Arabidopsis thaliana: one gene and its partners. The protein of the gene in region 1 purifies or fractionates together with the protein of each later gene. This does not show direct contact. Each region holds a gene or a part of one and is shown in the gene's direction. Other genes may lie near its edges.

Evidence for each region.
Region 2: the proteins of DRM2 (region 1) and HD2C purify together in Arabidopsis thaliana (affinity purification with mass spectrometry, with the first as the bait; one study listed by BioGRID). This does not show direct contact.
Region 3: the proteins of DRM2 (region 1) and AGO9 purify together in Arabidopsis thaliana (affinity purification with mass spectrometry, with the first as the bait; one study listed by BioGRID). This does not show direct contact.
Region 4: the proteins of DRM2 (region 1) and HTB9 purify together in Arabidopsis thaliana (affinity purification with mass spectrometry, with the first as the bait; one study listed by BioGRID). This does not show direct contact.

Annotation. Positions count from the first base shown.
Region 1 is NC_003076.8:4,714,345-4,721,145, reverse strand, and holds DRM2 (domains rearranged methyltransferase 2), read left to right. Parts: upstream 1-2,441; 5' UTR 2,442-2,567; coding exon 2,568-2,690; intron 2,691-2,768; coding exon 2,769-2,901; intron 2,902-2,976; coding exon 2,977-3,026; intron 3,027-3,123; coding exon 3,124-3,223; intron 3,224-3,301; coding exon 3,302-3,348; intron 3,349-3,423; coding exon 3,424-3,528; intron 3,529-3,655; coding exon 3,656-3,752; intron 3,753-4,287; coding exon 4,288-4,385; intron 4,386-4,471; coding exon 4,472-5,167; intron 5,168-5,285; coding exon 5,286-5,717; 3' UTR 5,718-6,041; downstream 6,042-6,801. Other genes in the region: SK13 (shaggy-like kinase 13), read left to right, coding at 24-296, 400-474, 556-612, 731-871, 985-1,035, 1,178-1,273, 1,357-1,440, 1,522-1,624 and 1 more; AT5G14610 (DEAD box RNA helicase family protein), read right to left, coding at 6,433-6,553, 6,640-6,801. UniProt on the Arabidopsis thaliana protein: Involved in de novo DNA methylation. Controls asymmetric and CpNpG methylation. Required for FWA gene silencing but not for the maintenance of SUP gene silencing. Functionally redundant to CMT3 to maintain non-CpG methylation.
Region 2 is NC_003076.8:979,450-985,044, forward strand, and holds HD2C (histone deacetylase 2C), read left to right. Parts: upstream 1-2,409; 5' UTR 2,410-2,544; coding exon 2,545-2,557; intron 2,558-2,889; coding exon 2,890-2,960; intron 2,961-3,037; coding exon 3,038-3,249; intron 3,250-3,362; coding exon 3,363-3,412; intron 3,413-3,525; coding exon 3,526-3,665; intron 3,666-3,878; coding exon 3,879-3,971; intron 3,972-4,107; coding exon 4,108-4,201; intron 4,202-4,300; coding exon 4,301-4,512; 3' UTR 4,513-4,840; downstream 4,841-5,595. Other genes in the region: CTR1 (Protein kinase superfamily protein), read right to left, coding at 1-211; AT5G03750 (E3 ubiquitin-protein ligase), read left to right, coding at 5,347-5,456, 5,570-5,595. UniProt on the Arabidopsis thaliana protein: Probably mediates the deacetylation of lysine residues on the N-terminal part of the core histones (H2A, H2B, H3 and H4).
Region 3 is NC_003076.8:7,190,596-7,198,837, forward strand, and holds AGO9 (Argonaute family protein), read left to right. Parts: upstream 1-1,643; 5' UTR 1,644-1,757; intron 1,758-2,874; 5' UTR 2,875-2,876; coding exon 2,877-3,092; intron 3,093-3,195; coding exon 3,196-3,401; intron 3,402-3,503; coding exon 3,504-3,710; intron 3,711-3,793; coding exon 3,794-3,930; intron 3,931-4,019; coding exon 4,020-4,117; intron 4,118-4,182; coding exon 4,183-4,280; intron 4,281-4,354; coding exon 4,355-4,514; intron 4,515-4,601; coding exon 4,602-4,718; intron 4,719-4,804; coding exon 4,805-4,912; intron 4,913-5,006; coding exon 5,007-5,069; intron 5,070-5,144; coding exon 5,145-5,258; intron 5,259-5,352; coding exon 5,353-5,521; intron 5,522-5,613; coding exon 5,614-5,726; intron 5,727-5,833; coding exon 5,834-5,971; intron 5,972-6,076; coding exon 6,077-6,204; intron 6,205-6,337; coding exon 6,338-6,403; intron 6,404-6,482; coding exon 6,483-6,546; intron 6,547-6,659; coding exon 6,660-6,771; intron 6,772-6,856; and 9 more. Other genes in the region: LARP1a (LA RNA-binding protein), read right to left, coding at 8,222-8,242. UniProt on the Arabidopsis thaliana protein: Involved in RNA-mediated post-transcriptional gene silencing (PTGS). Main component of the RNA-induced silencing complex (RISC) that binds to a short guide RNA such as a microRNA (miRNA) or small interfering RNA (siRNA).
Region 4 is NC_003074.8:16,896,582-16,900,114, reverse strand, and holds HTB9 (Histone superfamily protein), read left to right. Parts: upstream 1-2,101; 5' UTR 2,102-2,170; coding exon 2,171-2,623; 3' UTR 2,624-2,828; downstream 2,829-3,533. Other genes in the region: EXLA1 (expansin-like A1), read right to left, coding at 2,926-3,307, 3,386-3,533. UniProt on the Arabidopsis thaliana protein: Core component of nucleosome. Nucleosomes wrap and compact DNA into chromatin, limiting DNA accessibility to the cellular machineries which require DNA as a template.

The DNA of each region.
Region 1 (6,801 bases):
TTTTGTTACTTGTATATATGCAGGCCAAGTGTTTAGAAACGGGGGAAACTGTTGCAATCAAGAAAGTTTTGCAAGACAAGAGATACAAGAATCGGGAGCTGCAGACAATGCGTCTTCTTGATCACCCTAATGTTGTATCCCTCAAGCATTGTTTTTTCTCAACGACTGAAAAAGATGAGCTCTATCTCAATCTGGTCCTTGAATACGTTCCTGAGACTGTCTATCGCGTCTCAAAGCACTATAGTCGGGCAAACCAGAGGATGCCCATTATATATGTTAAACTCTATACTTATCAGGTAGTTATTATTCAGCCCACCAGAACATCTGTTCTCATCTTTTGAAATACAATGAGTTAATCAACATTGTTTCCATGATTTCTTCCTTCTGTTGTGGGTGCAGATTTGCAGAGCTTTGGCTTATATTCATGGTGGAGTAGGAGTCTGCCACAGAGACATAAAACCACAGAATCTTCTGGTTCGTATCCTTAGTTGATTTTATTCATAACATTTTATTGGTCTACATGCTTCTGCTTGATCAATCTTGTGCTTCTCGTAGGTTAATCCTCATACGCATCAGGTCAAACTATGCGATTTTGGTAGCGCAAAAGTTCTGGTATAGCATTTGTAAAGAGACATGTTGATTTGTTTTCATATTGAAAAGTTTGCACTTTTTATGGTGCTATGCAATGTTAACTAGTCCTAACTATTTTAGCTTTGCCCCTCTGTAACAGGTTAAAGGCGAGCCAAACATCTCATACATCTGCTCCCGTTACTATCGAGCACCTGAACTTATATTTGGAGCTACAGAATATACAACAACAATTGACATATGGTCTGCAGGCTGTGTTCTTGCTGAATTGCTTCTGGGACAGGTAATATGACTGTCCAAACTTTCCTCCATTTATCTTTTACAAATGATTTGATTTACCGAATGATGTCTAAAGTTATATATTACCAATCTTTGGCTTGTCCAACTTTTGGTTAGCCTCTATTTCCAGGTGAGAGTGGAGTTGACCAGCTAGTTGAGATAATAAAGGTACTTCAATTTGGTTAAACAAACACACATAATCCTAGCCATTGCTATATTGAACATAGAGTGGATCATTGATTATATGGAATGAAGAGGCTCCATTTCCTGCTATTGATTGCCATCATTTTGTTTACTGTGTGTGTTACAGGTTCTTGGAACACCAACACGGGAGGAAATCAAATGCATGAATCCAAACTACACAGAATTCAAATTCCCGCAAATAAAGGCTCATCCTTGGCACAAAGTAAGCAAACACATCATCAGTTTTTCCTTAACATTGATCTCCATATATTCTTACGATTGAAAAATCTGTTGTTGGTTCTTAAGATATTCCATAAGCGTACACCTCCAGAAGCTGTAGACCTTGTCTCAAGACTTCTCCAGTATTCTCCAAACCTCAGATCAACCGCTGTAAGTCAATGAAGTGATTACCATAATAACATTATGTTTGATATATCTGGTTGGTTGATTCAAACTTACTTGTTATTGTAGATGGAGGCGATAGTTCACCCGTTCTTCGATGAGCTACGTGATCCCAATACACGTCTTCCTAATGGTCGTGCCTTGCCTCCTCTCTTCAACTTTAAACCTCAAGGTCTGTCTCCTCCAAATATGCTTTTGTTTGTTTCCCAATGCTCCGTTTTAACAAAGACTAAAAGTGTGTGCTTCTTGTTAAATATGTAGAGCTAAAAGGAGCAAGTTTAGAGTTGTTGTCCAAGCTTATACCTGACCACGCCCGAAAACAATGTTCCTTCCTCGCTCTCTAAATCTCTTCCTCTCTCTCTATATATATGTGTGTGTGTGTGTATGTACACATGCATATAATATGCTTATCGTTTCTAAGTAATGGAGATAGCTTCTCAGGATTATCATTAGCTTTCATCTTTCATGTATCTTTGTTGTTTATTGTCTTATCACAACCTTTGTACTTTATTACATACAATGATTAGTGTAATGTATGTGACGGTCTTTGACTCGCCGGTCGCTACAGTTATGTTGGATACTAAATTATAAAATAAACTTCTCGCTCGTCACGTGTCATTGCATGCATCCAAAGCTCATGCTTCAAAGCTTAGCCAAACTTATTTTTAAAAAAGCCTATGTTCTGTGTAAAAGTGTCATTTACGAGAGTTTCTTGTTTAAGTTTAACCAATTTCACTTCCTCAAACGAAATACGGTAATTGGTAATATCCTCTAAACATGAATTATCATTGACTATAAAAATTAGTTTCGCAAATTGCCTCTAAGCACCACAAGTGTCACGTAACGTGTCATTTATTCATGTTTATTGATTTAGTTAATTAAAAACATTGTAGTTTAATTATTGAAGTAGTACAAAGAATAGGGACTAAATTGCAATACTCTGAATTTGTTTTTTTCTTTTTTAGAATCATCCGACTTTTTGTTTCACGGTTTCCTCCTCCAGTAAACTGACGACGATACAAGCTCTCTCACCAACGGCGACAGTATCTTTGCCGGCGGCGGGAGCGCTTCTGCTTAATCTGTAGCTCAAACTAAAAATTCTCTGGGTATTACTCATGGTGATTTGGAATAACGATGATGATGATTTTTTGGAGATTGATAACTTTCAATCTTCTCCACGGTCATCTCCAATACATGCAATGCAGTGTAGGGTCGAAAATCTAGCTGGTGTAGCCGTGGTAAGTGATCCAATCCAACAGTCATAAGTTTATGCCTAAGCAGAATCATTGCTTATGTGAATTTTTGTTTTGTTTCAGACAACTAGTTCTTTGAGCTCTCCTACTGAGACAACTGATTTAGTTCAGATGGGCTTCTCAGACGAGGTTTTTGCTACATTGTTTGACATGGGATTTCCTGTTGAGATGATTTCTAGAGCGATCAAGGAAACTGGTGAGGCTTTTTTCTCTTGTTTGTATTCCTTTCTGGATATATATGATCCGTAACTTGATACCAATAATTATACAGGACCAAATGTAGAAACTTCGGTTATAATTGATACTATCTCCAAATACTCAGTGAGTTTCTAATACTTTGATCTCTTGGGTTGCTTGTCATTTACATGTGCTTCTGTCATCACAGTATTCATATCCTCTCCTTTGTTTATTTGTGAAGAGCGACTGTGAAGCTGGTTCTTCCAAGTCCAAGGCTATTGATCATTTCCTTGCTATGGGATTTGATGAAGAAAAAGTTGTCAAAGCCATTCAAGAACATGGTACTTACAGATTTCTCTCCTCCTTAAGTAAGAAGTAACACTTTATCACTTTGCTGATATTTGCTTTATAAATCGCAGGAGAAGACAATATGGAAGCAATTGCAAATGCATTGCTCTCTTGTCCAGTAAGCGATGTTACGAAAATATACTGTCTCTTGACATTAAAAAAATAGTACTTAAAGTTCGTTGATGGTTTGTAGGAGGCTAAGAAACTGCCAGCAGCAGTAGAGGAAGAAGATGGCATTGACTGGTCATCAAGTGATGATGATACCAATTACACCGATATGTTAAACTCAGATGATGAGGTATAACTCTTTCATGTTGGTGATAACATATTTAAGCATCCCAGGTTTGAATTGTAAATGTATCTCACTGCTATTTTGTATATGTATCTAATTTTATGCGTTCTTAATCTATTTTAAATCATGACAGAAAGATCCAAACTCAAATGAAAATGGCAGCAAAATACGGTCTTTGGTGAAGATGGGTTTCTCAGAGCTTGAAGCTTCTTTAGCTGTCGAGAGATGTGGTAACTTTATTTTAAACGATTGCCATTGTCATTAAATTTTAGTTCCGTTTTGTTCAGGTTTCTTCTAGACAACGTCGTATAAATTGCTTGGTTTAGCCTCTGATTTAGTGGTGTAGGCCTTAGATGTGTTTGCTGAGCATTTTGATTGTATTTCACTAATCGAAAGTTGTCATTAGTTCTGTCTTAGCTTCTGGTTCTGTGATGTACGCCTTAGATATGTTTGTAGAGAATGTGATCGTATTTCACAAAATGATAAAAGTTGTCAGTACTTGATAAAATTGTATGTTCACTAGTTCCTTTTTATTCAGGTTTCTTCTAGAGGAAGTGGCATAAGCCAAATTGCTTAGTTTTAGTGTAATGTGATAGTCAAATTGTGGCTTTAGCCTCTGGTTCTGTGATTTAGGCTTGAAATGTGTTTGCTGAGCATTGTGATTGTATTTCACTAAATGATACAGTTGTCAGATGTTAATATATATCTCTTACTTACTCTAAGTATGTTGCTGCCTTATCCAGACTCATATGATTGTAATTTCAGGAGAAAATGTGGATATTGCAGAGCTCACAGACTTCCTTTGTGCTGCTCAAATGGCTAGGGAATTTAGTGAGTTTTACACTGAACATGAAGAACAAAAGGTACTGTTAAAACCTTTTTTATAATCTATCTTTTGTAAGTTAATTCCTTTGGGAACTGATTATTTTGGGAAATTTGGTGTATGCAGCCTAGACATAATATTAAGAAAAGGCGGTTTGAGTCAAAAGGAGAGCCAAGATCATCTGTTGATGACGAGCCGATTCGTCTACCAAATCCAATGATAGGATTTGGGGTTCCAAACGAGCCCGGACTCATTACACATAGATCGCTTCCAGAGTTAGCCCGAGGGCCACCTTTTTTCTACTATGAGAATGTCGCCCTCACACCTAAAGGCGTTTGGGAGACTATTTCCAGGCACTTGTTCGAGATCCCACCTGAGTTTGTGGACTCAAAATATTTCTGTGTTGCAGCGAGGAAGAGAGGCTACATCCACAATCTCCCCATCAACAACAGATTTCAGATTCAGCCTCCACCAAAATACACCATCCATGATGCATTTCCTTTGAGTAAGAGATGGTGGCCAGAATGGGATAAAAGGACCAAGCTTAATTGCATTTTGACTTGTACAGGTAGTGCTCAGTTGACTAACAGGATTCGTGTAGCCCTTGAGCCTTACAATGAAGAACCAGAACCGCCTAAGCATGTACAAAGATATGTGATTGACCAGTGCAAAAAATGGAATTTGGTTTGGGTGGGTAAAAACAAAGCTGCCCCACTCGAGCCAGATGAGATGGAGAGTATTCTGGGATTTCCAAAAAATCATACTCGTGGTGGAGGCATGAGTAGAACTGAGCGCTTCAAGTCCTTAGGAAATTCGTTTCAGGTAATTTTACATATCATATGCGTAATAATACTCTTTGTAGTTAAAGTCTTTTGCGTATTTGATTCATTGGTGGGTGGCTTGAATACCTTGGTTTAATGGTTGGTTGAACTTGTTTTAGGTTGATACTGTGGCGTATCATCTGTCTGTCCTGAAGCCCATTTTCCCACATGGAATCAATGTTCTCTCTCTTTTCACGGGTATTGGTGGTGGGGAAGTGGCACTTCATCGTCTCCAAATCAAAATGAAGCTTGTTGTGTCTGTTGAGATTTCAAAAGTCAACAGAAATATTTTGAAGGACTTTTGGGAGCAAACTAACCAGACTGGAGAATTGATCGAGTTTTCAGACATCCAACACTTGACTAATGACACAATCGAAGGGTTGATGGAGAAATATGGTGGATTTGATCTTGTAATTGGAGGAAGTCCTTGTAACAATCTGGCAGGCGGTAATAGGGTAAGCCGAGTTGGTCTTGAAGGTGATCAATCTTCGTTGTTCTTTGAGTATTGCCGTATTCTAGAGGTGGTACGTGCGAGGATGAGAGGATCTTGATCATTCACATTACCTGAAGTAGATTGAAGTAGATATGACTCCATGAAATCTAGTTGAACTTTATTTTTCTATATCTGTTATGTAATATGGCCATGAAGGTACATTTTTGAATAATATAAGTCAACCTAACTCTCTTTTGCTTTTTGCGACAATATATCTGCAACTGCATTTGCACTTTTCTCTTCCCTGCCTTAACACTGATGTTCAGTAATGTATTCAACCAGACAAATGTGTCATCATATAATCTTTGATCCTTCCTTCATGCGAAGGGTTAATGGAGAAATATGTTTGGGGTATTTGTATAGACACTTTGGTTAAGGAGTCAATTAAGAGTAGTCAGTGACTTGTAAGCTGAAACTGCAGTACTTTTTTTTTGATATACTGATATTGCAGTTCTTAATAACGAAACAAACTTGTTTACTTCAAAATATCAAAAAGTCATTCCTATTTAGAGGTCTAAAACATTTATCAGCTGAGAAACATCCACTACTTAAACACCAACACAGAAAGAACCCATAAACGAGTCTTTATTTTCCATAATATAAACAGAAAAAGGTTTCTCGTAGACCAAAACATTAGAGTATCCTTCAGGTGTGTATGATTTTAAAAAGTACTAGCAGCTTCGGTCCACACACCACAAAATGAATAATTTACCCCAAGAGAAAGAGGCTCTTCTATATGTATATTGCCCCAATCTGGTTTAGATTCCAATGACTTATCTATTTTTCATCATCATCGCCTCATGAAAGCTGCGAGGCGGAGATGAAGTGGACGGTGGACCTCCTCTGAATCTCTCAGGACTACGGCTTCTCTCTCTTCCCCATCCTGAGCTGCCACTGCTTCAACCACCAAAAACCGATTTAAAGTTAATAATGAGAAAAAGAATCAAGAGATCTAGCTGAGTCGTTTATCTTTAATTTACCTGTCACGTGAAGGAGCCCAGCTTCCTCTACCACCAGAATCACCACGACCACCATAACCAGAATCACCACGACTACCATAGCCAGACTCACCACGACCACCATAACCAGAATCACCATAGCCACCACGGCCGCCACCACCACCACTGGAAGGTGTACCCCAG
Region 2 (5,595 bases), 3.7 Mb from region 1:
GATCACCACCACCACCACCGCTAGGATCCCAATCAAATCCGCCTCTCTCCGCCTTAGCTTTCCCGGTGTTCCCGCTGTTATGGTTGCTCCTGTTTTCGCTCGACAAGGAATCATAGTGAGGCGGAGGAGCTCCGGTGACGGAAACTGACACCTGATCGTCAGAAAATTGACTAAGCAAAGTGTAATTAGATCTTCTACCGGGCATTTCCATGGAAAAGAGAGTTATCGCGATCTAGATGAGAGAGTTTCCCGATCATATAAACATCAAACCCTAGGAAACCGCCATTGTTGAAGAAGTTTGGCGAGCTAGCTAGCCACTTGTTTCTCTCTCTAGTTTTTCATTTTTTTTTTGTACTTTTTAAAAAAGTCTCTCTCTCTCTCTCTCTCTCTCTCTCTCTCTAATGGAATTGGATTTTTTTTTTGTTTTTGCGTTATCATAGGAAATAAACTTACTCGGTGCGTTTCTGTTGATAATTTCGTTATATTCCTCTTTTGTCCTCCTTTTTATGGAACTTTGACATTTTTTTTATTTTTTGTCAAAACAATTCTCCAATTTAGTTTGTTTTTTAGTGTATTATTATTTGTCTAATTTTTGTATTCGACTATGATATCTATTCATATGTTTTGTGCTAATTTAATCGCTAATAAAACTGTTTAAACAATTAATTTGGTATTTCATATTTTGGTGATAAGCAACTGAAATTGGAAGATAAAAAGTAGTATCGTAGTGAAAGTAGAAAACGCAAAGCTAAAAGAGGAACATACACAGTGTAAAATACTAAACCATCTTGCCTATCAAATCCAAATACTATCAAATTTGATCTTTTACACCAATCTGAATCCGTAACATTGGATCCAAGTTTCGTATACCTAAACATGAAATTTTCATTCGGCTCTACGTAGTCTAAAAAACTCGACATAAAATAAATAAAAAGCCTTTATAACGTCCACAATATTTAGAATAGAAAGTGAGAGAATGGACTATAATAAAATAATTGGAGTCGAGGGGGATGTATTCGTGTATGCGAAAATGGATGGGCTCTTCTGTCTTTATATTCCTTAATTTGTCTATTCAAACACATTCGTATTTCTGGTCTTCGGCCTGCGACTTCTATACCATGCATGCATCTTATCTCTCTCTTTTTTTTTTTTTTTCGTTTTCTTTTCTACTTCTCCATTTTTTTTTAATTTGGTTATTTTTATTGCCTTTATGTTTTTTGTGTATTATATATAAATGAACTAATAATACTTCATTATGTTTCGTGTTATTATAAGTGAATTTTTCACAACCATTACAAAAAATTATCTTTTGCTTAAAAGTTAACTTTGGATTATAGTACTTCATAAAAATGTAAAGATTTTGATCAAGTACTTATCAACGCAGCTTGGGTAGTCAATGTGCTGTCATTAATTTATCTATCAAGCTATCCACGCAGCTTGGACAATAAATAAATATTTAAATTCTATTGCATATTTATATCATTTGATCCGCTAAGGTTCATCGAATACTGCCAGGTTCATTGCACTCAACGCATTTTTGTCATTAACTTACGTTTTTTAGCCATGGCTGCTGAGAATATAAAGTTGCTACTATGTAAAGAAACTTTTGGGTTTGATCATATTTGTGCACAAAAAAAAATAAAAAAAAAATCATACTTTTAAAACTAGTATTAATCCAAAAAGTGCTAAAACATAACAAAAAAAAATTCTCCTTAACTACTATACAAACATATATTTTTTTATGCGCATAAATTAAAACTTAACAATTGATTATGATCACATATGTTGAAAAAAATCGAAATTATGTGTGATATGTAAAACCGGAGTATAATATTGGTAAACTATAAATTTAAGAGCATTGGAAAATGTTCATGATTCATGCCGAGAACTCTTCTAAATCTAAACACGAGAGGCCCCGAATAGATCTAACTAAAATGAATTGTGTTTAATATAATAATAGTGTTCCTTAATTCTCACTCGTGCAACTATCCATTTAATAATTTTAATTATTCGTAGTCGGGGACCGTACTTAGTTTTATCATATAAACTCTTCACAGATTTTGTTAACTGGTTTTTCTTTGGATTAGAAAAAAATTAAAACTTTGCGATACATTATGCTCAATTTATCCGTGGGACTTATTTTGAGGAATGGAGATAGATATTGTCATGAAGACATGAATATATAGACCCCACATGTTGACGAAAACTCCGTCAGTCAAATAAAGTGTTAAAAGTCCGTTACGATCCGTCCTGACACCGTTAAAAAAAGCCGTCAAAATAAAGTATGGGCTTGAAACGTTAGTTTTGTTGGGCTAATTTTAAAATCATGGCCCAACTAAAGGAGATATTCGAGTGGACCGCGTAACAGAGGATCCCTAAAATCCCTTCCTCCGATTAATAAATTCCAGCGGACATTTTAGCCTTCTCACATCAACACGCCCTAAAACCGCTCTCGAGAGACGAATCGCTCTCAGCTTCTTCTAGAACCTTCTCCTTCTCCTTCGACGCATCGTCGCCTTCAAGATCACACTACCTCGCACAACAATGGAGTTCTGGGGTAAAAAACATCTCCTATCTTACTCCTTCTTCTTCTTCGTTCTCTGCGCTTCATTTCCTGCATTTAGTTTTTTTTTAGCTTCTGGTTTCATCGCTTTTTTTCGTTTTGCCATGTTTTTCTACTGTTTTTTCTATGGAATCTTCTGTTTAGCTAAACGAGAAACGGGAATAGTGAGTATATGTGACAATCTAGGGTATGGACTGTTCGTCTTCGTAGAAAATTGGGGAAAACTGAAAAGTTTTCTCTCTCGCTAGGTTTTAACTCCGATAGAGGTTTCATTTGGGGATTTTGTTGCAGAATTACTGATTTGTATGCTTTCTATGCGTTTGCAGGTGTTGAAGTTAAGAATGGCAAACCACTTCACCTAGATCCTGGGCTAGACAGGCTCGTGCACATCTCTCAGGTACTTTTGAATTTGCAAGCTTAATTTGATTTATAAGAATGTATTTTACAGTGACGTTTGGTTTATTTTTGTTGAAGGTTGCTTTGGGAGAGAGTAAGAACAATGTAACCGAACCAATCCAGCTTTACGTGACTGTTGGATCGGATAAGCTTCTCATTGGAACGCTATCTCATGAGAAGTTTCCTCAGCTGTCTACGGAGATTGTCTTGGAAAGGAACTTTGCGCTGTCTCATACTTGGAAGAATGGGAGCGTTTTCTTCTCTGGTTACAAAGTTGATGCATCTGATCCATATCCTTTACTATTTGAACATTTTTGTTGTTATCGCTTTAAGCTTTGTTGATGAAAATGTTTTGGGGACTTGTTGCTTTACTCTGTTTTTGACTTCCTTGACTCTATCTCACCGAGCCTGAGGATTTGATTGATGATCAACTTGAGGCTGCTGGTTTCAAAGGTAAATGGGGACTTTTATATCCAGTCCTGCAATGATTTGTCTCCAGTTGTCTTATTTTAGTTTATTTAAGAACATCAATCTCTTATAAATTTATTTGGCCTTGGTTGAGCCAGCTGCTCCGAAATCTGCTGCGAAACAGGTGAACTTTCAGTTGCCAAATGAAGATGTCAAAGCCAAGCAAGATGATGACGCTGACGGTAGTGAAGAAGATTCTTCAGATGATGATGATAGTGAAAACTCTGGAGACGAGGAGGTACTTTTATCTATATATACTAGCTCAATTTGTTATAGAATTTTACTTAGGCTCAGTGACATGTTGATTAAACCTATAGACAGTGGTACTAGAGTTATCTTAAGTATGTTTGTAACTTCTATATTTGCATTTTCACATGAACCCTTGATTACCTATTGTGTTTTAGCCCATTCTCACATTTCTTTAATCCTTATCATGGCTGCTTTGTTTCAGGAAGAGAAGGTTACTGCTGAATCTGACAGTGAGGAAGATGACTCATCAGACGACGAAGAAGATGACTCCTCAGAAGAGGAAACCCCAAAGAAGGTAACATGACAGTCTCTTTTATGTGCTTGTTGATGGGAAACCTATATTTGTTCTATCTTATCTTCCTTTGGGAGCAATTTCTCTGCTTCTGTGGTCAAGCTCGAATCTGATTCTAAGTTTTCTTGGTTTATAAAAGCCTGAAGAACCCAAGAAGAGGTCTGCAGAACCCAACTCCTCCAAGAACCCTGCGTCCAACAAGAAGGCTAAGTTTGTAACTCCTCAGAAAACAGGTGATTAAATCCTTTTTACCAATCTCCCCATTGAATACTTATTTTAACGATAGAAAGGAAGATTGATTTGTTTAATTAAAAAACATTCGGACAAAGCAGATTCGAAGAAACCGCATGTCCATGTTGCAACTCCTCATCCCTCAAAACAGGCGGGTAAGAATTCTGGTGGAGGCAGCACTGGAGAGACATCGAAGCAGCAGCAGACACCGAAGTCTGCAGGAGCGTTTGGGTGCAAGTCGTGCACCAGAACCTTTACTTCGGAAATGGGATTGCAGTCTCACACAAAGGCCAAACACAGTGCAGCTGCTTGAGAAGAAGAAGCAGCATGATGACTACTCTCTATAATATCTACTCTAGAACTTTGATGTCTTTTGGTACTTAAATCTGGAACTTGCGAGTGAGCCAGTTTTAGTTGGTCTTTTTTTTCAGGCATTTCTTCCTGTTTAACTTTATCGTTTTGGTAGCTGAAACTGTGCTAAACCTTTGTTTGTGTTTAGTGGTATGGATATTAAGTCTTTTTGTAGACTTTTCTAGTGAAAATCTACATTTGAAATTCTCTGTCCAAAACATACATTGATTGAAGATTAGTTAGCATGTCACTTTGTAACATAATCTAATGGACCCGAAATTAAGGATTTTTAGGGCTTGTGGTTAATATGCAGCTACTACACCAGTTTGCGTATATAAATATAATAGGAAGAGAAAAATAATAACAAGCAGGTTTGCCCGAGTGGTTAAGGGGGAAGACTTAAGTTCTTCTGCACATAAGTGCGCGTGGGTTCGAACCCCACAGCCTGCATTTCCCCTCTATTTTGTTAAAATTAATAAACTTGTTGTGTTCCTTCCACTTTTGCTGTCTTCCAAAGGTTTCCAACTTCCGCTTCGTATTTCTCTGATTGTGAATTAACCAAATCACACCAAGAATCATAATACTAATTGGTTTTCATGTAGAGTTTCCTTTTTTGCGGTTTTCATGTTGAAGAAAAAAAGGAAACGCAAGTATTAGTTTTCTTTTAATCGAGCTTACTTTTTAAGCTGCTTTGCTCTTTATATACAGATTGCTCTGTTTTGTAAGAAGCTAAGTTTTGGGTTTTGCCTTAATGCAGCGACTACGGCGTTTCGTCTGTGGTAATGTCGGAATAACAATGGAAGTATTCGATGAACCTGATGAGGAAGAAGAACGCCAAATTAGCCAATACATCGATGTGGTAGACTCACCTAGGGTTTCACAGAACGAGAGTGAGTATCAAAGAAGGTCATCAGAAAGTGTTTGTTCATCATCGTCTTCAGGATTGCAGGAGGATAAAGAATCATTATGTTCGATCTGTATGGAAGTTTGGACCAACGGTGGCGTTGTTCGTCTACCAGCTGCACCTTGTCTTGTTCTTGGGATC
Region 3 (8,242 bases), 2.5 Mb from region 1:
AAGAGTAAAGAAACTTTTATAAACGGATAATAACGTTATTTTAAAAAGAAAATAAAAGAGAAAAAGCAGAAGTTAATATTATATACATGAAAACGACGACCTGCAAAACATTTAAAGGAGCGAGAGAATAACATAGGAATAGGAATAGAAAAGGATACAAGATGACAAAAACATCCACTGCACATCTCAGAAACTCGCCCTCGTTATTTCATGCTACACAACTGCAGCATTTACTATTTTGTTTTTATACGTTTGGTATTTGCAGGACACAGAGACATTACGTACAACCAGTTTTCTTTTATCTTTTGTGGTAAATAGTTTTGTAATCTTTTCACTTTTTCAATAACTAATTTCAAAATTCAAACCAGTGATCAAATTTGAGGTGATGACAAAAAAAAAATTAGTCAAACGGTCAAACTGAGATATTTATATCTATCAATTGTGAAAATGTGATTAGTTCTTTTAACCTATAGTATACTTTAGTTCTTTTCAAAGTTGTTGATATTTGAAGACGTTAAACTTGCGATTTTTCTTCATTTTCACTTCCATGTATATAGGATTGTCACTGCATGCCTAATAATAATATATGTGTGAAACCATTTTGCCACAATCACAATTGTTTATTGGAACACTTGTAATACATATATGTTGCAAAAAAAGGATATATACATTTGCTCTTAATACAAAGATAGGTACGTAATTAAGTAGTATATCATGTTACTAATTTGTTCATATAGCTCTTTTTGTGTATTTGAATATATGGATCTGATTCAAGAATTAATAATCATTGCATATCATAGTTCGTTTATTGTAACATATAGCATGTGTTATACAGTTTTATAGACTTGGGTCATGTAGCCACATCGATGCATCATGGCTTAAAGATATTCATAAATGAAACTAACACTTTCAAGTTTTAACTGATATCATCCACAATGGTTCTGGTACTCATTTAAGAGAGTTATTACCTCCAAATCTATATTATACCATAGAGTAATTCCGCTAATGTTTTTGTAAAACTGTTAGAATTCGAACAAAAAATTATCTGGAAGAGGAGAAAGATATACCAGTCATTTAATACTATAATAAAGAACAACATCTTTAGCACCAAAATTGATAAAGAACGACATAAATAGGAATGGTGAAGAAAAAGATGATCCCAAAGGTAGAAAACAGTAAGTGGAGAAGAAGAGCTTTTTTGTTACTAGTATATTCAACAACTCATTCACTGTTGCAAGATTCTAATTTATAGATGTGTTAACTTGAACCAGATCATAACAAATAAGATGAATAACCGGTTTAAGTACCTGAATATTTGCACTAGTAATCCACCAAACAATGAAATTCCATATACTATTTACTTGTAAACGATTTGATTCTATATATACTCTTAAGATTCCATATAACATCGAATCACCTAACATTATTTTGTCCAAATCCAAATTGTTTCTAAATTCTCTAACAATAATAAAAAAAACGTAACGAGAGAAGTAAATTGATAAGACATTGAAACGAAAAGAAAGGAATATGGAGCGAAAAAATAATTAAGAAAAGAAAGAAAACAGTGGGACCTACCTATAAAACCTCTTGCGTCTTGCGTCTGCGGCTTTCTTTATAAGCGACACACCTATATTTTAGTGAATCACCAAAACAAACAAACCCTTTCTTCTTCCTCTCATAATCCCTCTCTCTCTTCTTCTCTCTCGCTCGCTGCTCTGTTTAGGGTTTTTCTCGTTCGTCTCTTCTATAAGTACTAGGTTTGTTTTTTACTCAAAAATCGTTCAATGTATGTTCGATTTTGAAGCTTTCATGCATGATTCCTGTTCATTTCGTCGATTTTGGTGGTTTTTTTCTCTTTTTTTTAGCGATTTCTGCGCTGTTAGTGTTCATCTGTATTTTTCGTCGTCGTCGTTTGGTGTTAAACAAGTGATTTTTGTTGTTTCATGAGTTTCTCTGGATTTTTTGGTCATGGTAGTGTTTGTTTATGTTGAATCTCACTGTTTTTTTTCTCTTTGAAGCTGCGTTCGTTGTTACATGATTTTCGTCTTCTTCTTCCTCTGAGTAATCGCTGTTTATTTTTCTACTCTGGATTTTTTGTTTTTTTGGTCTTCTCTTTGACCTCTGTTAAGAAATCTGGAAAAATAAATGTTGGCGTGTGTTTTTTACTAAAAAATTTGTTTGCATTTTCCCGAGAAAAATCTTCTGGGTTTCTTTTGCTGCTTTGTGTTCTTTGTCTCTACCTTCATTTTTTTATTCGCTTTATCCAACAGATCTCTCTCTCTCTCTCTCCCTCTCGCTTTTTAGGTGACCATTTTTTTTTTGTCATATATGATCATGTCACGTACATCTCTTCTTCACCATTTTTTTTTTCTGTCATAGATCTTCCTTATGCGGCTTTGAAGCATGACGCGAATGATTTTGTTTGCTTTTGAGTAATCTGAGTCTAGTTTGTGATGGTGACGAATCTGTTCTTTAGATCTGTAGATTTCATCTCTAGTACTTGTTCAAGTGTGGGTTGATCAGTGTTTTTGCGTGAATGCTTTTGTTTATGCCATCTTTCTGTTTGTTCCTGAATCATGTTTTATATGCTGTGATTTAATGGTTTTAAGTAACTGTGTGAAGATCGCTTTGCTTTTATCAAGATGACACCTGACTCCATGAGTTTTTCTATGTGACGTTTGCTTTGTCCTGTGATTTAATAGTTCTCAGCTCTACTGGCTTAGATTTTCGGGTCAGAATTATTTTCATACTAAAAATTTGTGATAAATCTGGCTTCAACAATGGTTTCTTTGTAGCGTTTATGCTTTCCCATTGCTTTAAACAGATTATATTTTGGTGCTGTTCTTTTCTGACCTTCTGATATTTGTATCCCAGAGATGGATTCTGATGAACCGAATGGGAGTGGATTACCACCTCCACCACCTTTCGTTCCAGCAAATCTTGTCCCTGAAGTGGAGCCTGTAAAAAAGAACATTCTTCTCCCAATGGCTCGGCCTCGAGGCAGCGGCTCCAAAGGACAGAAGATTCCTCTTCTTACTAATCACTTTGGAGTCAAGTTCAACAAACCAAGCGGTTACTTCTTTCATTACAGTGTATGTATACTGTGACCTCTAATAATCCTCTATTTGTATCAGTGCGTTTCCTGTTTTATCTCTATGATACATGATGGATTTGTTTCTTTAAAATTTGCTACAGGTTGCTATCAATTATGAAGATGGCCGTCCAGTGGAGGCTAAAGGTATCGGCCGAAAGATTCTTGACAAAGTTCAGGAGACCTATCAAAGTGATTTGGGTGCCAAATACTTTGCTTATGATGGCGAGAAGACTCTCTTCACTGTTGGTGCTCTTCCCAGCAACAAACTTGACTTCTCTGTTGTTCTTGAAGAAATACCTTCTAGCAGGTGTGATTATGACTTCTTTTGATTTTTTTTTCCCTGTGAAATTTCTCGACTGTTTCCTTTTCTTCAAAGTCTAATATGCTTTGATATCCTCTTTATCTGCAGAAATCACGCTGGAAATGATACAAATGATGCTGATAGAAAAAGATCAAGGCGTCCCAACCAAACTAAGAAATTCATGGTTGAGATAAGTTATGCTGCAAAGATCCCCATGCAGGCTATTGCAAGCGCTCTTCAAGGGAAGGAGACAGAGAATCTTCAAGACGCTCTGAGAGTGCTGGATATTATTTTGCGCCAGAGTGCAGCTAGGCAGTAAGTTAAATATTCTGGGTATTTGTATTTCAAATAAATTCTCTGCTTGATCTTTAATGTCATGTTCTCATATCTGTTCGCAGAGGTTGCCTCCTTGTTCGCCAGTCCTTTTTCCACAATGACGTAAAGAACTTTGTACCTATTGGTGGAGGTGTCAGTGGTTGCAGAGGGTTCCATTCAAGTTTCAGAACTACTCAGGGAGGCTTATCCCTGAATATTGGTAATTCTTTTCCAGATCTAATGTGTATTAGATTCTTCCTTGACATTCGGCTGCTAAACTTTGATTTTTTTGCTTTGGCATTTCTTCAGACACTTCAACTACGATGATAGTACAACCTGGACCTGTAGTTGATTTCCTGCTTGCTAACCAGAACAAGAAAGATCCATACGGAATGGACTGGAACAAGGTACATCATTTTCTTTTATGTTGTACTATTTCACTGATGTATTTTATCTGATTTTATCTCATCAGGCTCGACGTGTCCTCAAGAATCTGAGAGTTCAAATTACTCTTTCCAATAGAGAATACAAGATAAGTGGACTAAGTGAACACAGCTGCAAAGATCAACTGTATGTCAAATTTCTTTGATCACAAGTTTATATGCTTTTGAGTTTATTCTAAGATATTGGTCTTTGATTGATAGATTTACATGGAGGAAACCTAACGACAAGGGAGAATTTGAGGAGGTTGAGATCACAGTGCTCAATTACTATAAAGAGCGTAACATTGAAGTGCGTTATTCAGGTGACTTCCCTTGCATCAATGTTGGTAAGCCGAAGCGTCCCACTTACTTCCCCATTGAGGTAAATAAAATGAATTGTTGTTTTTCTGTTTTCCACATATTTTTTTGTAACGGATTATGACAATCGTTTTGGTTTTCATGTTTGCAGTTCTGTAATCTTGTGTCTCTACAGCGATACACAAAATCGCTTACCAATTTTCAGAGGGCTGCCCTAGTTGAAAAGTCTAGGCAGAAGCCACCTGAAAGGATGGCCTCGCTAACCAAAGTAGTTCTTGTTTCCATAGTTCTTCTTCCCATTATCCTTGACGCTTTTTCTGTTTCTTATGTTTTATGTTCTGATTTATCTTGCAGGGTCTGAAGGACAGCAATTACAATGCCGACCCGGTATTGCAAGATAGTGGTGTTAGCATTATCACCAATTTTACCCAAGTTGAAGGCCGTATCTTACCAACACCAATGGTGACTTTCGTTGATTCTCTTGCTTTCCTTGCTGTATTTTTTCCTTTTTGCTTGTGGATGTTTTATTGTTGATTATCTTTGTCCTTGTTTACAGCTGAAAGTGGGCAAGGGAGAAAACCTTTCCCCAATCAAAGGAAAATGGAACTTTATGCGTAAGGTGCTTAGATTTTCTATCTTTTGCCCTAGTTTGAATATTGTAACCTCGACTAGTACTGATTGAATTCTAATGCAGACACTCGCTGAGCCAACGACGGTTACTAGATGGGCTGTTGTGAACTTCTCTGCTCGCTGTGATACAAATACACTTATTCGTGACTTGATTAAATGTGGACGGGAGAAAGGAATTGTAAGCCTTCTTTAGGTTCATTGGTTACTATACAAACGAATCATATGCACAACTCCTTTTAATTCGTCCCTTTTGTTTTTCCCTTTTATCCCAGAATGTAGAGCCTCCATTCAAGGATGTCATCAACGAGAATCCTCAGTTTAGGAATGCACCAGCTACTGTGAGAGTAGAGAATATGTTTGAGCAGATAAAATCCAAACTCCCAAAGCCGCCTCTGTTCCTTCTTTGCATACTCGCTGAAAGGAAAAACTCTGATGTTTATGGTACATCACATCACACTTTACATTCTTGAATATGGCCTGTTTTCCCCCTTGAATGTAAATGTTTAACTTTTCATGTGTCTGAAATTTTTTAGGCCCTTGGAAAAAAAAGAATCTTGTTGATCTTGGAATTGTGACTCAGTGCATTGCTCCCACCAGACTGAACGATCAGTATCTCACCAATGTTCTCCTGAAGATAAATGCCAAGGTAGCTGGAGGTTGTAAATTCATTCAATTCGAATTTCAAGACTGATTGTAAAGACTTTACAAGCTTACAAGCTTACAGCTGAAATGATTTATAATTCGTATATGTAGCTTGGTGGATTGAATTCGTTGTTAGCTATGGAGCGCTCACCAGCAATGCCAAAAGTAACGCAAGTTCCTACCATCATTGTTGGGATGGATGTATCCCATGGTTCCCCTGGCCAGTCTGATATACCATCAATTGCTGCTGTAATACTGATTTTGTTTTGTTAATTTTTCGTGTGATCTCATTTAGTGTTGTGTGTTCATTCTTGGCAACAACTCTGGTAACTTGGTGTTTGTTGGAAATCGTAGGTTGTGAGCTCAAGACAATGGCCACTCATCTCAAAATATAAGGCATGTGTACGCACACAATCACGCAAAATGGAAATGATTGATAATCTCTTCAAACCCGTCAATGGCAAAGACGAAGGAATGTTCAGGTAAAATTCATAGGCAGCGTTTTTGTCATCTTAATTCTATTTTAGGGCCTTGTGAATGGTACAATATTCTTTTATACTTGTACAAAAAGGTATGTCAGCATCAGTGTAATTAGAGATTTCCTACTGTTTACAGGGAACTCTTGTTAGACTTTTACTACAGTTCAGAGAATAGGAAACCAGAGCACATCATTATTTTCAGGTATACTTAAATCTATTAAGGTATCATGTAAAATAATATACTCCAATTTGTTAACTCACTGTTACTAATATACATGTAGGGATGGTGTAAGCGAGTCTCAGTTCAATCAAGTTCTTAATATTGAATTGGATCAGATGATGCAGGTATGGATTATAGTTCTAGAGCTTCAGAGCTTTTAGTGACACAAAGACGTTTTATTTAGTATATCTTGGATATCTTTGGGCCTGCCTGATCTCTTTTTTTGTTACTTTATTAGGCATGCAAGTTTCTTGATGATACGTGGCATCCGAAGTTTACAGTGATAGTTGCCCAGAAGAACCACCACACAAAGTTCTTCCAGTCTCGAGGCCCTGATAATGTTCCTCCAGGTAAAATCCATTTGACAAATGCATGATTTTCTGTTGGTCATTATTTTGTGTTTAAAATGACCTGAAACCTGGCTTTTGCCTGCAGGAACAATCATTGACAGCCAGATCTGTCACCCACGCAACTTTGATTTCTATCTCTGCGCCCATGCTGGCATGATTGTAAGTTATAGCTCCTGCAGAAATACTTTGACCACTTAGTTACTATATAAATCCAACTTAACAGTTTTCTATATTGATTTTGGATGTGTTAGGGAACTACAAGGCCAACACATTACCATGTTCTGTATGACGAGATTGGGTTTGCCACAGACGACCTCCAAGAACTTGTGCATTCTCTGTCCTATGTGTAAGAATTATATCACTTTTAACTCTTAATCTGATAGGTATCTTTGTGGAATTATATCACTTTTGACAATAATCTTCAAATTGTTTGCTTTGATTCTTGTAGCTACCAGAGGAGCACCACTGCGATCTCAGTCGGTTAGTCTCACATCTTTTATGCGTTGCTGCTGATAGCTACAACATTATGTGCAATATCTCAATTCTCAAGTTTCTTTATGTTTGTTTGCAGTTGCACCTGTATGTTACGCTCATTTGGCAGCTGCACAGATGGGAACTGTGATGAAGTATGAAGAGTTGTCTGAGACTTCTTCGAGCCATGGAGGAATCACCACACCTGGAGCAGTCCCTGTGCCACCTATGCCGCAGCTGCACAATAATGTTTCAACCTCCATGTTCTTCTGTTGATGGAACATGGTCCAGTCCACACGATAGCTGAGTTTATATGCTTTTGATGGAGAACCAACGAACTTTTGTTTACTCTTCTCTGGGTTTGGTTCCTCTTTTGTTTTTCGTCGACCCTTTAACATTGAGGAGATACTCTTTATATTCTGTCGGTTTTTGTGGGCGCTGTTGGTTGATACTTTATTATGCTTAATCAGATTTGGTATTTTAAGGCATTGAGTTCTCTTCTTTTTTTAACGTCGATCTGATGTTGTGGCTGAATTACATATAGGCAGTGTGATTTGCATCATATAGTTAGATTTGGAACATATCGATGAACTACAACATCTGCTAGGTTTAAAAGAAAACATTTTGCCCAGAAAATTTGCAACTTTAGGTACTTATAACCTTCAGGGTGTGTTAGTTAAGTAACCCTTCAGGAATATTGGTAAAACCGTAAAACCCAAATTTCGCTCTTTTCGTGAGTGTTAAGCAAATTCATGGTAATCATCAGACTTTTTTTTTTTTGTCGGCAATCATCAGAGTTATCAATATCTAAAAGAAAGAATCAGGAATATTTGTGTAAATAAGAACTCTTTGAAAAAATATTCTGCGTAGGCCAAATATATAAGATGCAAGAAGACAAAAATTTACAAACAAGAAAATGTACTATCTATATAAAATTGTCAAATAAAACATCTCTTATTGTTTCTACAGATACTACAAATCACATCATTTTTTTTTTGTT
Region 4 (3,533 bases), on another chromosome or scaffold:
GAACAACTTTCCATAGCCTCTTATTTATATAAATTTAGCAAATTCTATTATAAAAAGAAAAACTTATAAATCTTAACTAACTTGACATTATTTGTATTTTTCTATTTTCTATCTCTTCTAGCATCTTCTAGAAAGAGATTACTTTCTCCTCAAATAACTTAGAACTATCCAACAATCTTGCTAGAGAGTAAAAACACATCAAGCTTAGATGAAGAAGAAGAAGCAGGGGTTTGATGGAGATTTGGATTATGGTGTTGATGTAACTAGAGGTCGATCGTTTTAGTTTCGGGCAGGATTTATAATTAGTGATATATATACTTGCAATTAACTAAGTTTGATTTCTATTTCATATTTGTTAATTTGATGATCGAATACCAGATAAAATGAGAAAAAGTCACAGCATTAATAATCAATACCAAAACTAAATTAAAATGAAGCAAACCACTCATGTTATAGTTATACATCATCGTAGATGATAAGATTTATTAGAAGCTAATCTCATTAAGATTATATCATCTCAAAAGACAAACAACAAAGTTATTAAATCATTTAAAAGTCCGATATAAGGTAACACTACATCACTTTCCCGATTTCTGATTTCTCGACAAACATCTTATTCATTCATCTCCAAAACCTCCTAATCTACCCTCTTAAAACGATGAAGCTATCGGGATGTACTTCCAAACTCATACCGAAGAAACTCATTTTCAGAAATTTGCGGAAATTTTTCATGAACAATTGTTTTTAATGTTTCTTGTTATGATGGGTAATTTAGCATGCATGTTGGCATGTATTTATGTCATGGCGGCTTTATATCTGCCTTTATGTTTGGTTCATACTCTAAGGTTTGTCAAGAGATGGTTATGTTATTTGGTTTCTTATCTTTTGTGTTCTTGGTGACCACCATGTTTGGATTATGGGGATTTATTTATGTCTATCAGTTATGATAGCCTTTGTAGCTCTGATTATTACAATGATCTTTCTTTACTGCCCGTAAAAGCGTATCTAGCTAGCATCAATGTAGAAAATGGATATGGAGATGAAAATTTGAATTTAGGGCTTAGCGAAGAGTCTCGTTTGCAGTTACTATGATTGTGTTTGCAATTAACAAGGTTTGATTTTTCTTTTTCCAATTCGCATTTTTTCAAACTAAAGATATTTGAATCGATATAGATATGTTTATGTTAAATTTTTTGGGTGTGATGGTCATGCTATGGTTGTTTATAAGATTTTTTCCTTTCGATGTTTTGCGGCTGTTGATTGTGTTTTCAGTTTTCACTTATGTGAAAAGGTAGATAGAGTTTTTCATTTATGTGAAAAACATTCCATTTAAAATACCTGAAAAAAAGATTTGGATTAACTTTTAATGCCATGCTAAAACACACCAAAAAACTAAATTATTGATATACAATGTTGTGGATTATATATTGTTCCCATGATTAAATATATATGTTCTAGTCAATAGTCATACATCATGCATATATAGTAGCCTAATGTAGCTAGTTTCTAGATTTTACTACTCTCCACTGAAGATAATTTGAACCATAAACTGGAGTATTAACACATATTGCTCAATATAGCCAAGCACAATTTTTTTACTTCTTGTTTATGCAAATACAACAAATTCTTTATATTTTAGCTGTCTCATATTATTAGTCAACAAATTCATTTTAAATCAGCTTGTAAGTTGTAATCAGGTTCAGTTTTACAGCAAAATATATTGTGTTAAACTGTTAGTGCAAGCCTACTAGTATATATATTCTATACTCTGTTTCTTCACAGATATGTTTAGTTAGTTTTTTCATAATTGTATAGACCACATTAATCAGATCTGCTTTGGATCAGGCTGATATTAAAATTTTAAGCCCAATAAAAGCCCATTTACAATACAGTGGAGCGGGAACGGAGATTTTAACACCGCGCTAAAACATAAACCAATATTGACACGTCATCGATCCCGCTTCATAAGTTTATAAACCGTCGATTAAAAACAATTTCAACGGTTGCGATCTCCCATCTCATCGATCCTCGTCAACATCTAATAACCAATCATATCAATTATTCTAACTACTATAAAATCAAAACTCGTCTTCATCAAATTAGATATCAAAATCACTCAGATCTGTGCTTCTTCTTCTTCACCCAGAAAAGTAAAACAAAAGTCAAAACAATGGCGCCGAGAGCAGAGAAGAAGCCCGCGGAGAAGAAACCAGCCGCCGAGAAACCAGTAGAGGAGAAATCAAAAGCCGAGAAAGCTCCGGCGGAGAAGAAACCAAAAGCCGGCAAGAAACTCCCGAAGGAAGCCGGGGCCGGCGGCGATAAGAAGAAGAAGATGAAGAAGAAGAGTGTGGAAACTTACAAGATCTACATCTTCAAGGTTCTGAAACAAGTTCATCCAGATATTGGTATTTCAAGCAAGGCTATGGGTATTATGAACAGTTTCATCAACGACATCTTCGAGAAATTGGCATCGGAATCTTCAAAGCTCGCTAGGTATAACAAGAAGCCGACGATTACTTCTCGGGAGATTCAGACTGCTGTTAGACTCGTTCTTCCTGGTGAGCTCGCTAAACACGCTGTTTCTGAAGGAACCAAGGCTGTTACCAAATTCACAAGCTCTTGAATTAGTAAATTAGGGTTTGTATACTCTGAATTTGATTCTGATGTTGTCATAACTTGTGTTAGGATTTCTCTTTCGTTTTATTAAGCTTTAATTATCATTCTCCGTTGTAAAGTAATCTTATGAATCTGTCTTCGAATCAAAAGTTCTGGTTGTTAATGGCTCAATGTTGTTCTCTTGTTTAATCAATGTAGAATCATGAGAATCATTAGATTAAGCATTCTTTAACTATGTTCATTAATAACCTCTGTCACACATTATATATAAACCTATGAAAGATGTTTGTTTGTGTGCCACTAAATAACTTAGTTCCAGATGTGAGCATCGCAAGGATCACAACCTTCTTGAGCAATGTCAGTGATTTGAACACCGGCGTCGTAAATTTTCCCAGCTTCCCAATTGGATGGAAGAACACTCTGTGACCAAATCATTTTACCGTCGTATCCACCGGTTACTACGAACCTGAACTGGATAGCTCCGGTGGGTACTTTGTCAGTTACCCAAACAGCTCCGTGGCTTCTTGTCATGTAACCCCAATTTGGCGATGAACCGACTTGAGCAATGTCGATGGATACTACTTCTGTTTGACCTCCTTGGTATAAAAGCTTTATCTCTAAGTAGTTTGGTTTCTTGCTTGCTTCTTCTACTCTCACGTTCATGTTCTTGTTGCCGTAATCGCAAGGAACTCTGTTTTTTTTTTTGATGACCAAGTTAATATCGTGTGATTAAGAAAACCAAAGAGTTTAGGTGTTTTGAGAATCGAACCTTTGGTATTCGATGTCGACAATGCCTTGTTTGAGAAGGTCTTTGTCAGCACCAACAATAGGTTTAGCCATAGCTCTAAAAGCTCTGCTACTAAGGACAAGATCGGTTTGGTTACTCTTGTTTAAGTCTGTGATCATCACAATGGTTC